Drosophila melanogaster: one gene and its partners. Changing the gene in region 2 together with the main gene of any one other region gives a genetic interaction. Each region holds a gene or a part of one and is shown on either strand. Other genes may lie near its edges.

Region 1 (4,488 bases), on a different chromosome or scaffold from region 2:
CTCACCCATTTCGAATACAATGTGCATATTCCCAGTGCTTGTTCGCGAGCGACCGTACTCATCTGCATAAGCTCCATTAACTAGCGCATGCGTCAGCCAGCCAGCCAAGCCTCCCCATTCACAAGGTCCGAACTCTAGCCTAATGCTTGATATTCTGTTTTCCGTAGCTACTGGTGGATGCGCGTGAGCAGCGGCAGCGGGACATCGACGACGACGAAGAGAACGAGATGGATCGTGGACGTCAGCGGAAGGTGAAGTCCGGTTCGGCTAAGGGAAACAATGCCAGCAACAGCACGCCCGGGTACAATCCATTCCAGGAGTACGAGGGCCAGAAGCGCTGGAACAAGAACGGCGGAGGTGGAGGATTTCCGCGATTCTACAATCAGAACTATCGCCAGAACTTCCAGCAGCGCAACAAGTTCAAGTTCAACCGCTTCGGAGGACCAGGCAGCGCCAAGTTCCAGCAGCAGCGAGCCCTGCAACGACATCTGTCCGCCGGCGGTGGCTTCAGTCGGCGACAACCGTCGGCGCAGCAGCAGCAGCAAACCTAACTGGATGCGGATAGGCGAGGGTCAGGAGAAAGAGATGACGCCGATGCGACTGCGGCGTGTGCATTTGTTATTGGATTTCAATTTCGCATGAGTTTTGTAAACGTTTTTTAACTGCTGATGATGAACATATTAGAAATAGGAGTAGGCGTAGGACTGTAAGCTATAAGCTAGAACATAATTGTTGCCTCCCAAAATCATCCCCAACCTTCACCGAAGCACACAGTCCCATTAGAAACTAAGGCTATCATTAAGTACGATAAAAAAAAAGAAATGAAAGATTGTGTTTGGCTGAATTCGTTTTTATTTCATTGAATCGGTATCCTTGCATCAATCGCGTGCTGGCGATACCGCTTTAATGACGCCAATAATCAGACAACAAGGTTACCGCTCTAATGTTTCATTTTTAAAAAATGTTAACCCCGTAAAGGCAAACACTAAACAGGCTGCACAACTGCGCAGAATGGAAATAAAGCAACCCAATAATACGTTAAGAACCTATGCCTAACCAGCATGCAAGCAAACTTTGTACATAGATTTCGAGACTAGATTTAGGACCCATGAAAATTTTATTATAATTTTAGCGGCGCCCCCCTTTTATTTATAGAGCATAACCGAACGGCGGCGAGCAGCGATATTGCCAATGTTAATAACCCAAAAAAAATAAAGTATGTTGGATGTAATATGTACCATGATGAATACGACGGAGAGCGGTAAAAAAAAAGATCGAACGCATCGGCGTGTTAGCAAAATTATTGTACAAGCCAGGAATTATACAGTTTATTTGATTAACTAGAGTAATAGTAAATAAACCGTAAAACAAACTATGCTAAAAGCTAAATTTAGTCGGCATTCCGTTTGCGCCGCAGCTCCTTTTTGTTGACCATCCGACCCTTTCGGTATTTGGTCTGGTTGGCCTTTCCGTACTTGAGCTGCTTGCGCTGATGCTTGGGAACGCTCTTGATGGTGTTGTTGCGGTCCCGCTTGGCCTTCTTCTGGTTGTTCTTCTTGTCCAGGCGCTCCTTCTGCTTGAACAGTTTGCTCTGGTGCATTTTCTTCAGCGTTTTGGTCTTCATCAGGCGGTCGAGATCCTTTTTGCTCTTGATGTCCGGCAGCGTGGAGTTGTTGGACTTTGTGGCCTTCGGCTCCTCTTCGTCCTCCGGCTTGGGTTTACGTTTGCGGGCGTTGGGATCGAAATCCATGCCGGGTATCCTATTGGCCTGGTCGGCTTCGTCCTCCTCGCTCTGGTCAGCCTGCTCCTCCGGTTCGCTTTCCTCTGCCGTGTTGGCACCCAACATATTGCGCTTGGCGGCCAGATCGTTGGTGGTCAGCTCCACGATCTTCACCTGCACTTCATCATCTTCGTAGGTCTCCTCCTGCTGCTGCTCCGCCTCCTCGGCCTTGTCCTCCTCGGTGAGCTCGCGCAGCGGTTCGAAGGATTTCTTCAGGTGGTTAAAGCCATCCTTTACCTCCTGCCGTATGCGCTTGCGCTCGTTCTTAAGGTTTCTTTCCAGATCCGCCTTTGCACGCGATCGTCGCTCATTCTTTCTTTTCCGGAAGCCACTGAGAAACTCTCTGCGGGATTGGGATGTGGGCATTAGTATCCTCCGGGGATTCTGTGTCTCCTTACTTACATGCGTTTCTTGTTGTCGAATACAACCTCTGTTTTTTTCTTAGGAGCCTTTTTCCTGGTCATTTTCAAAAATTGTGCTACTCGTTTTTGTTTACGTTTTCAACATGTGCGAGCGGCCAGTGTTACCAGATGGGCAAAATACTTTTCCCCGAAACGAAAGGTACGTTAGAATTCAAAAATGTTTTAAAAAAAATTTTTATAGTTATACGTTTCTTGGTTTTTACCTTTAATTTGTTGTTATCATATGTCATAGATGGCATTCAGTGCAGGTTTCAATTTCAATAAGTTTTTTATTTTTAAACTTTTCAAATCGCTTTTCGTATATATATCACATGATTATATGTTCAAGTTCAACAAGTTCTTCTAAAGAAGCATTAACATTACACAATCGTAAGACTATATCTAGGGAACTTCGTACAACACTACGGTCTAGAACTAATCAAAATACAATTAACGATATATTCTGTTGCCATATGTATCTGGTATTCGTTTCGTAACTGATATATATTGGGTTTATCATAAATTCATTCGGTTTACGTTGCTCGCTGGCACCGTACTCACTCACTCGTCGTCATATTCCAGGACGAAGAGCTTTTTGCGTCGGAACGATGAGGTGTCCAGGACCTTGGCGGAAGATAGGGCGGAACACGGACTCTCGAAATCGTGTACATGAACGTACCTGCCCATTGAATCAACACTGAAAGCGGATGGGTTATGTGCGCTAGTCCATGAGCTAATCGATTAAGGGTACTTACTTATTCTTTAGCAAATCCAGACGGGATTTGCCTTGGTTTGTGTTCAATGGCGTGGAATTTATTACGTTGGGGCTACCCTGATTGGAGAGGTCCAGCGGGTCCTCGCCGGAAAGGAAGTCGGAGGCATAGCAGTCACGATTGGCAATGGGTGTGGATCCTACCAGCTGGAACTCCACCTGAGGCACCAGAGGCACTCCCTTTGACGAAGGCGAGGAGGGCACTATGTTAATATTGGGCTGTGAGGCCGTTATGGGCTTGCATAGATGCAGGACCTCCAGGAAGTATAGAAGGTAACGAAAGGCGGCTGTTTTCCAATTGCACATTCTTCCCCAAACGGCGCGGCGAGATCGCCTAAAACTACGCGACTGCAAGTTGTCAAGGGTTAAGATTGATTCTCAAAGATGTGCTTGGGAATGCTTACCAGCATGCTGAAGTTCATCAGCGACTTGCGCTTCTTTTGCAGGTACTGCAGCTTGGGATGTGAGAGTAGCTGCTCGGCCGTCGGCCTCTGCGCAGGATCGGGCTTCATCATGGACTTAATTACCGACTGCAGCTCCAGTGATATTTCTGTGCGAAGAGAAAGGCTTTAGCAACCTGCCATTTAAGTAGGCAGCTAGTTCGCAACTCACTGTTTATGAACTCCTCGGGCAGAATGCCGTGCCTCAGTTCGTGCCACAGTGGGCCGTTGGAAGGAAGATCCATGTAGCATGCCAGCTCTAGCATGGCAATGCCCAGACTGAAGATGTCCGCAGCCTTGGAGAAGTGACCCTGCAGGATCTCTGGAGCCATATACCTCGAATCTCCCTCCGTGGCGTGATGGCTGTTGGCCCTGTCCACATCGATGACCAGTCCAAAGTCTGCCAGCTTGCACGTCTCGTCGTCCTCGCCGATCAGAACGTTGTCCAGTTTAATGTCCAGATGGATGAGATTCCGGTCGTGCAGCGACTTGAGACCCCGCAGCAGATCCAGCAGGATGTGCCAGATGCGCTCCTCCGGTATCCTTTGGCAGCGCAGCAAGTACTGCTCCAGACTTTCGCGGCACAGCTCCATTTGCATGTACAGTCGGTCGTACTGCTCCCAGGCGCGGATGAACCGGATGCAGTTCTCATGGCCGGAGAACTCCTCGTAGCGCCGCACCTCTTCCAGCCGCTCTGCGCGGTACTGTTCGCCGCGGAACAGTTGCTTGGAGATCTTGACGGCATATAACTGGCCGTCGGAGCGATCGCGCACCTGGAATACCTCGCCGAAGGATCCTTCGCCCAGTTTGGCCAGCCTTTCGAAGCACTGCTCGAAGTGTGACAGGGAGAGGGTGCTCAGCTCGGCCTGGACTGGTGACGAGGGCAGCGTACTGGAATCCGAACATCCGGCGTCCCGGAAGGAGATCGCGTGCGCGATCTGGGAACTGTTGGTGCTACAGGAGCCCAGCGATTGGCTTCGGTTCAGATTGTTGTTGTCCACGGCGACGTAGCCACGCGTCTTGTACTTGGGCGGCCGGAAGCGATTGCTGTTCTCCCCATTGCACTGTTTGTGTCTGTGTTTGTCGTCGTGCAAT
Region 2 (6,123 bases):
CTTACATACATATGTATCTGCGAGTTATTTTTCCCCGTAGGCATGTATGTACAAACAACGATACATATGGCACACTCTGGTGGTATCATTTACAAACGCACATGGATATGGGAAATAATACCTCAACGCCAATGTGGCTGGGAAATGTGTTACCTAAGACGTCTAGCTGCCCGTATGCCCGATATGCGCGAAATCAGTGTTTACTAGTTATCCGCGCGATACATTTAGCATTTGTATTATTATTGTTCACCAACGCAATTCTTTATTATCAAACCCACATTTATTCGCGATGACACTTTGCTGTTATCGTTATCGCAGCATAGGAATAACAGTACGAAGTTGCCATCCCGATCTCTACACCGGTGAGAGTTGCCAGCCCGATTTACACGCCGGCTTATTCGATACTAATTGAGTTATCGAATGACCGTTTGTTTCGTTTAAATTTAGTATAACAGTTTTTTATTTAATCATCATTTTAAATTTTTTGTATTTTAGAAATGTTTTTATCGGTAACTAAATTATCTACTTTCCATATTCTTGTATGAAACAAAATTTTAAAAGTATGTATCGACTTTATATACCGAAATAATTTATATGGTTAAACTTTTCCATTTAAATTTTATGAATTTATACAAAGATTAAAATGTAATTAGCTCCTGAAATCAGGACAATGAAATGATTAAACTGGTATTTTAACGATTTAACTTAAGAAAGCGGGCTCAAAAAACAAGGATGAGTAAGAAATTACAAAGTTTCGCATATTGATTTTATTTTTTAATGGTTACTATATTTTTAAATACAATTTGAATATTTTATTTGTTGTAATAATTTAACAATACACGCCGTATTGTTGGTAAGCTTTAGTTTTCTTGTGACTGACTAAGGAGGAAAAAGTCGTTCTCTACCGCGTTCTATTATTTGTATTGTGTGCTTCGTAGTCCATGACTTCCTCATAGATTAGCTCCTTCCACTGCTCCACAGTGTGTTCCCTTTCGTCCACGCTGTGATCATATGGCTCCGGAGCGGGCTGCAAGAGATGCATGCAATTAAGCGATTAAAAACATTCAACATTCCTAGAAATCCAGTTTATGCCAGAATCACTTACAGCATCCACTTCCTCAGCATCATACCACACGTTGATATATTCATGCTTCAAAGCCTCGTCCACAGATATCCGCTGCTCTGGATCAATGACTAGCATTTTACTAAGAAGATTTCTAGCGTCAGAAGCCTTCCGGCGGCTATTCTGATTATTATCATTTGGAAACAAGCCATCGGGGAAAAGTCTATCAAATGAGTATCCAGTGTATCTAGGACGATTTTCCACATAGTTTCGGACGGTTGGCTGTAACCGTTGCATAAACGAGGGTGATGGTGTACCTAATTGCTCTGAAAAAACGTAAAAGTTGACAATCATAACGAGAATCAAGTTATTTAAGCAGCAACATACCAATAATTTTATTCCACTGATCTATATGATCCGTTCCAGGAAACAGCACACCGCCCCGTATCATTTCGCCCATAATGCAACCGACGGACCATATGTCCACGTTCTCTGTGTATCCCATGCCCAAAATGACCTCTGGAGCCCTGTAATATCGGGTGACCACATAGGGAGTCATCATAAAGGTAGTTCCTGCAGTACGTGCCAGACCGAAATCCAAAATTTTTAGAGTGCAGTCGGCCTTTACAACTATATTGGATGGCTTTAAGTCCTGCAAATGAAGTATTTCATATATTTCATACTCATTTTAAAGATGTATTCATACTGTACGTACTCTGTGAATAATTCCTGCTGAGTGTAAATGTTTTATTCCGCACAACATTTGATAAAGCAAATAGGACATTCTGTCGTGATCCAAGTCCATTTGGATGACCTGGCAGAGATTAGCGTCCATCAGCTCCATGACCAGGTAGACATCCTGAAACTCTTCCAAGTTCCTTTGCGGCGTAAAAGCATTAAGTAAGCCAATTATCTACGGATTAAATACCTATGTTTAGTAGAAATTTGTTAAAGTTAAAGGTGCAAGTTTCATACGTTTTTATGGTTAACAAGCTTCATTAGCTTGAATTCCCTATATGCTCGCTTGGCATGGGTTACATTTTGGAATGGTCGAGATAGTTTCTTAATCGCCACATTTTGCTGGGTGATAGTATCGTAAGCGGCGCTGAAATGCATTAAATTTGTTATTTTTTTTTTTCATATTCCAGCTAATCCCATCTAATCTAATCTAATATACAATGGAGCGTTACAAATATGACTTCATACTCATGCGAAATATCTTAATTGTTTAAGCCAAAAAATTGTTAAATGTATTATATGTAATAACATATTGATAACCACTTACCATACTATTCCTTGGGCACCTGATCCTATGGGCCGTAGATTAATGTACCGACTGTGGATGGTGAAGTTGGTGTCCCCCACCTCGACGGTGTAGTGTTGGTGCTGAGCTGTCGTCATTGTTCACTGATTTTATTTATTACTAGTTGAGAGCAAGGAGCATATCGGCCTTTTCAAGAGGGTAAATAAGATAAATCAATACGGTTTTACAGTGTGATTCTGTTTTATATAAGGAGCAAAGACGTCCGTATGTATGGCTCCATTCTGAATGGGTGGAGGCAGTTTTCAGACAACTTCGTCTGGAATTAGGGGGTAGGAAAACATTAACTTTGCCTGGCCTTATTTCGGCAGAATGTTATGGCCATTAAGTGGGTCTCTGTTGTCGCGAGGGGTGAAATTTACTGGCTAGTGTGTGGCGAGTTTGTTGCCAAACCACGAGCAAAAAATATCGAGTTCCTTCAAAAAGATACAATTGCATAACGCAGTCACTTATTTGAGCCGACTTCGAATGCCGAACCCCCTTTTCTATTGATAAGCATTTAAATGTTTGCCGAACACATGTCGAATATGGTTGGAAAAACACCCAACAGAAATAACCGAGCGTTTCGTTCTTTGAGCAAAGTGTTTAGCGGCACGCACAGGAAAAAAAACCGATTTAAAATCGATATGTCCGGCTTAAACATAAAAGTACGGAATGTTGGACCACAGCGATGTACATAGCGTTCATGTGTATGCATGCCGTTGCCTGTGTAAATATGTACATACACACGATTTGTATGCGGATGAAAACTGTAAACTTCTACTGGTATACATATGTGTAAGATGTAAGCCACATACATACATATGCACATACAGCCACACAAATGTGGGTCGATAATTTAGTAACTTTTCAAACTATCTCTCAGATAAAAGATATTCCCCGTATTCGTACATCGAAAAAGCGCTCGTTTGCGCTGCAGATAATAAAGCGGTCTACGCTTCGGGTAGTGTCGATATGTAAACGTTAGACATTTGCGCATACATAGGTACATACACTCTTTGGGCAGTTGACATTTTATGTTAAATATCAATAATTTTTTTCATAACCGGCACAACTATAATTGCTTTCAATCGATTATGGCACGTTTTGCAGGAGTGTTTCGGTGATTCGATATTTGATGTGAATGGAACGTAATAGAATATTTATTTACCATTTAACGAAGAAGTACAGAATTTCTTGTGAAAATATAAAATCGATTTTTTTTCTATTTTATTCTACACACTGGGCACTCAAAGTGGCGAGCATTTTAAACTATGTTAATGTTATTGAAATTTAAGAATCAACTATCTGCGGCACTTTCGCATGAGAATAATTGTACATGGATACAATACAATATACGAAAATCTATTGGAATATTCGATCACAACAAAGTTACTTAAATCGATGTGACCAGATTGCAGTAGGACCAAAACCAGAAACGGCTAAAGTCAGCCAATCGACTTTTGATTAAAATTAGGTTTAATTAGGGGTTTAAAACCTAATAAGTGTTAATAACTTACAAATAAACATATACAAATGCAATTTATTTAATAAAGACCAAAAACTAAGTTGGCGCAGTGTTTCATTTCACCGTTCCGGTCATTAGATATTCCTTTGCTCGACTTATCGAGTATACATCGAATGACGAATGAGAAATACTGTCATCACTAACAATAAATAAAAACAAAAGAGTTGAAATACACAGCGATATGAGGACGGTTGGTTTTTGGCCACTGATGAATCACATAAGCTGATAAGTGCTAATTTTAAAATCTTGTCCTTGCAGTCATCACCAGCACTTAAATACCTATTGGAGAAGGATGTTCAGGTGTCGAAGCATTTTGTAGTAGCCGTCTCCAATCTGTCGTTCTTCAAATCCCTGCGGATCCACAGCAGATTTCTGGAGATATCATGCGATGGAATCGCCTGGTTTGTCTCATGGATCGCCTTCATCTGGTTGCTCAGCTCGAAGAGCTTGTATCAAATGCAAGTCAATATGCTCTTCGGCCTGATACTCGACGTAGTGATCGTGGCCGTGCTGAAGGCGCTTGTTCGTCGCAGGCGACCGGTGGCCAGCAAGGATATGCTGACCATTGGACCCGATAAGTTCAGCTTTCCCTCAGGTCATGCCTCCCGGGCGTTCTTTGTGCTGCTGTTCTTCGCCAAGCTGTATCCGCTTCACATCATATTCCTAATGCCGGTCACAGCTTGGGCTGTAAGCGTGGCCATCTCACGGCTCATCCTCCAGCGTCATTATATTTTGGATATCTGCGCCGGTGCTGCCATCGGAGTGTTGGAGGCACTAATCGTGGGACTTCTGTGGATCAGCGAGGAAACTGCATTTAGCATTGTGGGCTTTGTTACCGAGGAAACTGTCGACAGCATGGAGTAACGATAAGTTACGATTGGAACACCGAAAGCAATAGATAATCTCTAGATCATTATGATAAATGCTTTAACCAAATACATTGTTAATGTTAAATTCATATTATTGTGTATTTCGCATAATTTTTCTACCCTTATTTCACTGTGAAAAGGGAAAGTGTACTTTAAATGAGACTAAAGTCGTTATACAACCATCTTTAATAAAATAAATAAAGCTTTTGAAGATATTTGGATTATTAATTATAAGAAATTATAGTGTAATTCCTTTGTTCCGAGTCATAGCACTCCTAAATATATCGATTCATCGATAAGGAGTCAACAACCCCAACGACTTCGTCGGGGGATGAAATGTTGTATGCCACATAAAGTTTTCGCGAAAGGATAAATACAAAAATATTTTCGGAATCGTTGGCATGTCAATTGGACTATTGAAATAACAAAAGGCTTCATATTGTTAGCTAGATTAAGCAATATGAACAAATACTCGGCATTTATAGTCTGCATTTCGCTCGTGCTTTTATTTACAAAAAAGGATGTGGGGAGCCATAATGTGGACTCAAGAATATATGGGTAGGTATTTTCACTGAAAGTTTTCCCAAGTTTCCGCAACAATAATTAGCGAAATACTTTTGTGTGGAATTAATAATTAATGAAATCATGAGCTTAACATGTTTTATATATTTTTAAATTACTAAACATAGTGTATACTCGAATGCAGAAATCTTTAGACGCCCTTATCCTTTTAATCCTTAAAAATGCAATATATTATTTGCCCTGCAGTTTCCAGCAATCATCAGGTATTTGCCATATTTACAATGGCACCATTTGTCGCGATGTCTTGAGCAATGCCCATGTTTTCGTATCCCCCAATCTCACCATGAACGATTTGGAGGAGCGATTAAAGGCAGCTTATGGAGTAATCAAGGAATCCAAGTGAGTATGATAACTATTTCAACATTCCGTTGCTAATGCCAAGTGCATATTTTCAGGGATATGAACGCAAATTGCCGCATGTACGCTTTGCCCAGCTTGTGTTTCAGTTCAATGCCAATTTGCCGGACTCCAGAGCGCACGAATCTCTTGTACTTCGCCAACGTGGCCACAAATGCCAAGCAACTGAAGAACGTCAGCATTCGACGGAAGAGAACCAAGTCCAAGGACATTAAGAACATAAGCATATTCAAGAAGAAGTCCACCATCTACGAGGATGTGTTCAGCACAGACATATCGAGTAAATACCCACCAACCAGAGAGTCTGAGAACCTAAAACGCATTTGCCGCGAAGAGTGCGAACTTCTGGAGAACGAGCTGTGCCAGAAGGAATATGCCATTGCCAAGCGACATCCCGTCATCGGGATGGTGGGTGTGGAGGATT
Region 3 (6,046 bases), on a different chromosome or scaffold from region 2:
TATCTATCTATTTATCCATCTATCTATCTATCTATCTATCTTTCTCTCTCTCTATCTATCTATCTATATATCTATCTATATATCTATCTATCTATCTATCTATCTATCTATCTATCTATCTATCTATCTATCTATCTATCTATCTATCTATCTATCTATCTATCTATCTATCTATCTATATATCTATCTATCTATCTATCTATCTATCTATCTATCTATCTATCTATATATCTATCTATCTCTCTATCTATCTATCTATCTATCTATCTATCTATCTATCTATCTATCTATCTATCTCTCTATCTATCTATCTATATATATTAACGAATCTATTATCTTATCAATTGTCGAACTTATGGTTAAACTATTTCAATATTCTTTTAAAATGATAATACATTTTTTCTCTCTGCCGGATCGGATATCGCGGGCTCTACAATTAGTACTACATGCAACTGCAACTGCATCTCCAACGTCCATCGCACTGCGAGAGTCGGAGGATGCATCCAAAACGGGCAAGTGGCCGTCTAGCAGCTCGTACATTCGTGTAATGTTGGCCAATGCTCCCCCCCAAAATTGGCGTGCAGCGGAAAAATGAGACAACGTGATCCAAAGGCTCTCCAGCGATCTAGCCGCAGATTCCAGCTAGAGCTACAGCTACAGCTCCAGCTCCATGCAGCACGCACATAATTCATAAATGTTGCCACAGCTGGCGGGGATCGGCGGTATCTGCATCTGTATCGGTGTCTGCCGGCTTGGGAGATTCATAGGCACGCACTTGGTCGGTCCACTCTGTGCGCCCCGATCTCCTCCAGTCTTTGGTCTCTGCTCGCCGCATTGGCCATCAACACCAATCGCCAAATGGCGTTCGTGTGTGGCAAGTGACACACGAGGCGCTGCAGCACAGCTGGATGCGTTCTCCTCAGCCACTCGCATCTGGATCTCTGGACCAGGTGGATGTGGTGTGCCAACAATGCCTACAAATGGGGACCATCCATCAGTGCTGATGGAGCTGGCATTCCCACATCCCGGAGAGCTAAGATCGGGATAAGCCGTAAAGACATTAAATATAATCTTCACAATGAAAATGGATTTTTTTTATGGTGTCTCCTTTCAGTTGTTGTACACAGGATACACAACGGATAATGCTTAGGATTTACAAGCCATTATAATCAAACCAGGTAAATAGTTTATACATATATATATATGTAAATATGGGTAATGGGTAATCACAACTACTACACACTAATAGATTTAGTTATTATCTAGCGAAATTTCCTTTGAAATAATAAAGCTGATCAATTTGATAATGCATTTATGTTTATTGCTTCTCGTTTAGTTTAGCTTAGTTTCAGATTAGTTTAGCTACGCACTAGACGACGTCGTTCGTTCGTTTACACTTTAAAATTTAGGTTAATCACTAATAGCAGAATGGGTGGTCCTTAGCTCTACAGGTGGTTAGATCCACTCTGGCCGCTGCTATGAGCGGATGCTACCCAAAAGCGGCGTGCTCTCGGCAGCCTTTGAGGTAATCACGGTATGGCGGGAGCCGAAGCCAGTATCAGCCGACGGAGCAGCTGGTGGTCGCGGTGGCCAATGGCTCGTACCAGGACGCTCGTCCTCGGCCTCGTCGATGCGAGACTGGCGCGCTTGGCGCTTCTGCTGGTTCAGCTCGTGCAAATAGAGGGCACTGAGGCACATGTCGGCCACGCCCACATTCAAGGGAGTGCTGCCCACGCGCGGGTCCACACCACAGAGTCCGTAGAGCAGTGTATCCGTCGGACCCTCCAAGCGGCCTTCAGCCCGGCTGAGGCGCAATCGGCGCATGCTGTCCAGCGGGCCGACACTGGCGGACAGATTCTGCTGCAACATCTGGCGGAAGTCGCTGGCTGCGACGGGGAATCCTCCAGATACCGGTCCTAGACCCGGACGCAACGACTGCGAAATCTCCAGTTGCTGGGGCGTCACCTGTGCGGTCAGCACAGAGTTCGCAATGGAACAATAATCCGCTCCCATGGTGCCAAATGAGATGAGGCTGTTGGTCAGCGGGTTCTCCTGCACCATCGACGTCTTGGCCTGGACTAGTTCACCAACGGCGTGCTCTCTAACGCCGCGCAGGAACTGCTTGGCCTCCTTGGGCATCTGCCACTCGGGATTGTTCAGGGTGAAGCGAAGAAGCGACATCTCCGTTTTGCCGCCGGCCAAACTTTGCTGCTGTGGCTCCTGCTGCGGCTGTTGAGCTGTAGCCCGGGTCATCTCCTCCAGTTCGCTGGTTAACTGCCAGTCGGGATTGCCATGCTTGCGAACATCCATCTGGGCAAAGGAGCATACGTTGCCCACTCCTCGCACGGATACGGTGAACGTCCTGAAGAAACGCACCAGCTCTATGGCCTTTGGCCTGAACACAAAGATCAGCACGAAGGGTGTGACGAAGGGACTGAAGATTTCGCTGAGTAGGTAGCCAGCCTTAAACTGAAAGAAGTTGCTAAACTCCTGGCGAACCTTTGTCGTGTGCGCCTGCTGCCGCCACTCGGAGGGCAGGTAGTGAACGTGCGCCAGAATGGCGGTCATTAGCTGCTCTGGGCACCAAACGAGATTCTCATCCGGTATTAGAGTTCTGCAGACCACACCTATGGCGCCGAGCCCTGCAAGGATGGCAAGCAAATGCTCCACCTGGAAGACGTGTTCCTCGTAAATGCCCAATGCAAGGATTAGAAGTAGTAGTCCTCCACTGATAAAGAGTAGGTTTTTGGCTATCACAGCGGCCAGTGGCGAGGAAAAGGAGTTGAGATAGCGGTCCGCGTAGTCATATGCCCGATTCAGCCTGGCATCTAGTTCGTGGTCCAGTTCATTAAAGTGGCGCAGGTAGAGGCGGCCGTAATTGGACCATGTACGCAGGCCAAGGGCACCAGGCTCCTTACGAAGAATGTTCGCATAGGAGAAACTGAAGTAGATAAGTTGCCATACGAAGATCACAGGCGCTAGGACCAAATTTAACAACGCCACCCCCAATATCAGTTTGGAGAGTCGCTGCGCCAGCTCCGTTTGATTGCTTCTTACCGCAAACTCATCACGCAGCTGCCAATTGTTCTGGAAGGGAGATCCAGGGCCGCGAAACAAGATGAAGTCAATGTTGAACAACATACCTCTACTCAGCGAGACCACTTCGCCATACAGCGGTATGTGGAACCTTACAGGCAGCAGTTGCTTGTTCATCAGTGCCACTAGGTAGTTCTTGAAGCGCAGAACTCGGTGATAGATGTCCAATTCCGTAAGCGACTCCTTGTCGATGCACATATGCTGTTCGGCCTGGACGCGACGAATCCGCTGTTGCACCTCGTGCCACGTAAAGTTGTCCAGATCCGAATCCTCGATATGAAGCGCAGAGTTGTAGAATCTCTTTATATCGGCGTACTGGGTAATATGGTACACCATTTTCAGAAGCCTTATGCCCAAATAGATAGCGGCTATGAACACAACCAGGTACGTGACCCAAGTGAAGTTGGCTAAGCACTCGCCTGTGGGGTACATCACATCGGATAAAGTTGTCTTGTTGGGGTTAAGTCCCCCTGGAGGGGTGTCCCCAAAGAGCACGTCAAATCGGACGCAGTGCATCACAAAGGCAAGTAGCCAGACGACGAAACCAAACTCCAGAACCTGTAGCATTTCGTCCACTACAATCACTGTGAATCCGTGCTTCTGCTGGTACTGATACATTCGCGAGAAGAACGAGTCAAGGTCCTCGATGTGGTTCCACCGCGCACGCCCCGTCTCCGGAACCATGTGGATCATGACGCCACTGTTTCGAGGCGTGTCCTCGCCCTCATGCTCGGTGTCGTGCTCATCCAGCGGCTGCTCCAGCCCGTGTTCACCGAGGGGGTCTAAATGCGCAGCAGCTGCGTTCGCTTTTGCGTCTTGTGTTTTGGATGGGCCTTGGCCTGTGGAGGGATGGTGCTCCAGGAACGGACTGGCCGCCTCCTCGGCCAGGGAGCGGTAGTTGATATGTGGGCTAGACATCGCCCAACGTCAAGGTCAACCGTTCTGACTATTTATATCGCTGTATAGTATAAGTTGGAAAATTCTTTGTTGTTTGATTCTGCTGAACCTTCTCAGCAAACAGCTGACTCTCCTAAGAGAAGTGTTGGCCAACGTCAAAATACTGGGTAATGAATAAGTAAGGCGAACCTCTTGCAGCGCCCAATGTGCAGTGTTCACACTGCCAGGGCATCTCTAAATAACACACATTGGAGAATCAAAGGTATCTTATAAAATTAATACTTATAAATAATTAAATTTGCATTTTTCTTGTTATTTGTTTTTATATTCGTTTTTAACTTTTTGAAATACTCGATACTTTTGTTTATGGTACCCGAAGTGTGAACAGCCTAGATATCCATCAACATAAATCTGCACAGAGTTGGCAGTTCTCTCCCGCATTTGTAAACAAACTATTTGTAGCTCTTACTTTATTGCAAATTTAATTTAAAAAAACAAACAGCCAAGATGGGTAAAAGGCAGCATCAAAAGGACAAAATGTAAGTATTTAGCACATCCAGCGAGTTATGGAAATGAAGACTACCCATTGCTTTAACAGGTACCTCACGTACACGGAGTGGAGTGAGCTGTATGGCGGCAAAAAAGTGGAATCCTTGGAGAACGACCATGTCAAGTTCAAGCGGCTGCCATTCGAGCACTGCTGCATTACGATGGCGCCCTACGAGATGCCCTACTGCGATCTACAGGGCAATGTGTTCGAGTACGAGGCCATTCTTAAGTTTCTCAAGACCTTTAAGGTGAACCCCATCACCGGGCAGAAGATGGACTCCAAGTCATTGGTGAAGCTGAACTTCCACAGGAATGCAAACGATGAGTACCACTGCCCCGCCTTGTTCAAGCCCTTCAGCAAGAACTCGCACATCGTGGCGGTGGCCACAACTGGAAATGTATACTGCTGGGAGGCAATCGACCAGCTGAACATTAAGACAAAGAACTGGAAGGATCTGGTGGATGACACGCCATTCCAGCGTAAGGATATCATCACAATACAAGATCCTCAGAAGCTGGAAAAGTACGACATCTCGACCTTCTATCATATTAAGAAGAATCTACGAGTCCTGACGGAAGAAGAGCAGCAAGAGAGAAAGAATCCAGCCAGCGGCCGCATTAAGACCATGAATCTGGAGACCAAGGAGACGCTGGAACAGCTGCAGCAGGACTATCAGCCAGCGGAAGAGGAGGCCTCCACTTCGAAGCGTACAGCTGACAAGTTCAACGCAGCTCACTATTCAACTGGAGCGGTGGCGGCCAGTTTTACGTCTACCGCCATGGTGCCCGTTTCCCAAATAGAGGCGGCTATCATAGATGATGATTTGGTCAAGTACGAGCGGGTAAAAAAGAAGGGCTACGTTCGTTTAAATACGAACCTTGGCCCTCTCAACCTGGAGCTCTTCTGCGATCAAACTCCTCGAGCCTGCGATAACTTCATCAAGCATTGCGCCAATGGTTACTACAATAATGTTATGTTTCACCGGTCCATAAGGAATTTTATTGTAAGTACGATCTCTTTTGAGAGAAACTTTAATTTACTATGGTTTTATCCACAGGTGCAAGGTGGTGATCCCACTGGAAGTGGTTCTGGTGGCGAGTCCATTTGGGGCAAGAAGTTTGAGGACGAGTTTAAGCCGAATCTTACGCACACGGGCCGAGGAGTGCTATCAATGGCCAATTCGGGACCCAACACCAATGGCTCTCAGTTGTAAGTACCACAAAGTGACATTTTTTCAATGCTTTTGCAAGTATACGCTGTTTCGTAGCTTTATCACCTATCGCTCTTGCAAACATCTCGACGGCAAACACACCATCTTTGGAAAGCTTGTCGGAGGATTAGACACTCTTCAAAAGATGGAAAATATCGAGGTGGATAACAAGGACAGACCAATTGAGGACATCATCATTGAGTCCTCACAGGTCTTTGTGAATCCATTTGCCGAGGCAGCCGAACAGTTGGCCAAGGAGCGCGAGGAGGAGGCGGCCGGCAAGGAGGAGATTG

The links.
Region 1: of bsk (region 2) and vito, changing one suppresses a phenotype caused by changing the other (phenotypic suppression), as found in Drosophila melanogaster (one study listed by BioGRID).
Region 3: of bsk (region 2) and Atg9, changing one suppresses a phenotype caused by changing the other (phenotypic suppression), as found in Drosophila melanogaster (one study listed by BioGRID).

Annotation. Positions count from the first base shown.
Region 1 is NT_037436.4:5,775,022-5,779,509, forward strand, and holds vito (viriato), read right to left. Parts: upstream 2,313-4,488; 5' UTR 2,245-2,312; coding exon 2,183-2,244; intron 2,124-2,182; coding exon 1,391-2,123; 3' UTR 1,303-1,390; downstream 1-1,302. Other genes in the region: scny (scrawny), read left to right, coding at 168-551; Myt1, read right to left, coding at 2,743-2,878, 2,937-3,301, 3,358-3,503, 3,566-4,488.
Region 2 is NT_033779.5:10,246,747-10,252,869, forward strand, and holds bsk (basket), read right to left. Parts: upstream 3,756-6,123; 5' UTR 3,535-3,755; intron 2,997-3,534; exon of another isoform or gene 2,514-2,996; 5' UTR 2,465-2,513; coding exon 2,349-2,464; intron 2,169-2,348; coding exon 2,039-2,168; intron 1,977-2,038; coding exon 1,779-1,976; intron 1,716-1,778; coding exon 1,451-1,715; intron 1,390-1,450; coding exon 1,106-1,389; intron 1,028-1,105; coding exon 902-1,027; 3' UTR 756-901; downstream 1-755. Other genes in the region: CG31717 (uncharacterized protein), read left to right, coding at 4,073-4,081, 4,150-4,755; Ror, read left to right, coding at 5,221-5,318, 5,529-5,681, 5,738-6,123. UniProt on the Drosophila melanogaster protein: Mitogen-activated protein kinase and key component of the c-Jun N-terminal kinase (JNK) pathway which phosphorylate and activate transcription factors involved in a wide range of biological processes including response to various stresses, cellular proliferation, differentiation and migration, and regulation of cell shape.
Region 3 is NT_033778.4:16,292,489-16,298,534, reverse strand, and holds Atg9 (Autophagy-related 9), read right to left. Parts: upstream 4,136-6,046; 5' UTR 4,015-4,135; coding exon 1,477-4,014; coding exon of another isoform or gene 1,456-1,476; 3' UTR 1,303-1,455; downstream 1-1,302. Other genes in the region: CG7747 (uncharacterized protein), read left to right, coding at 4,501-4,532, 4,592-5,546, 5,601-5,752, 5,811-6,046.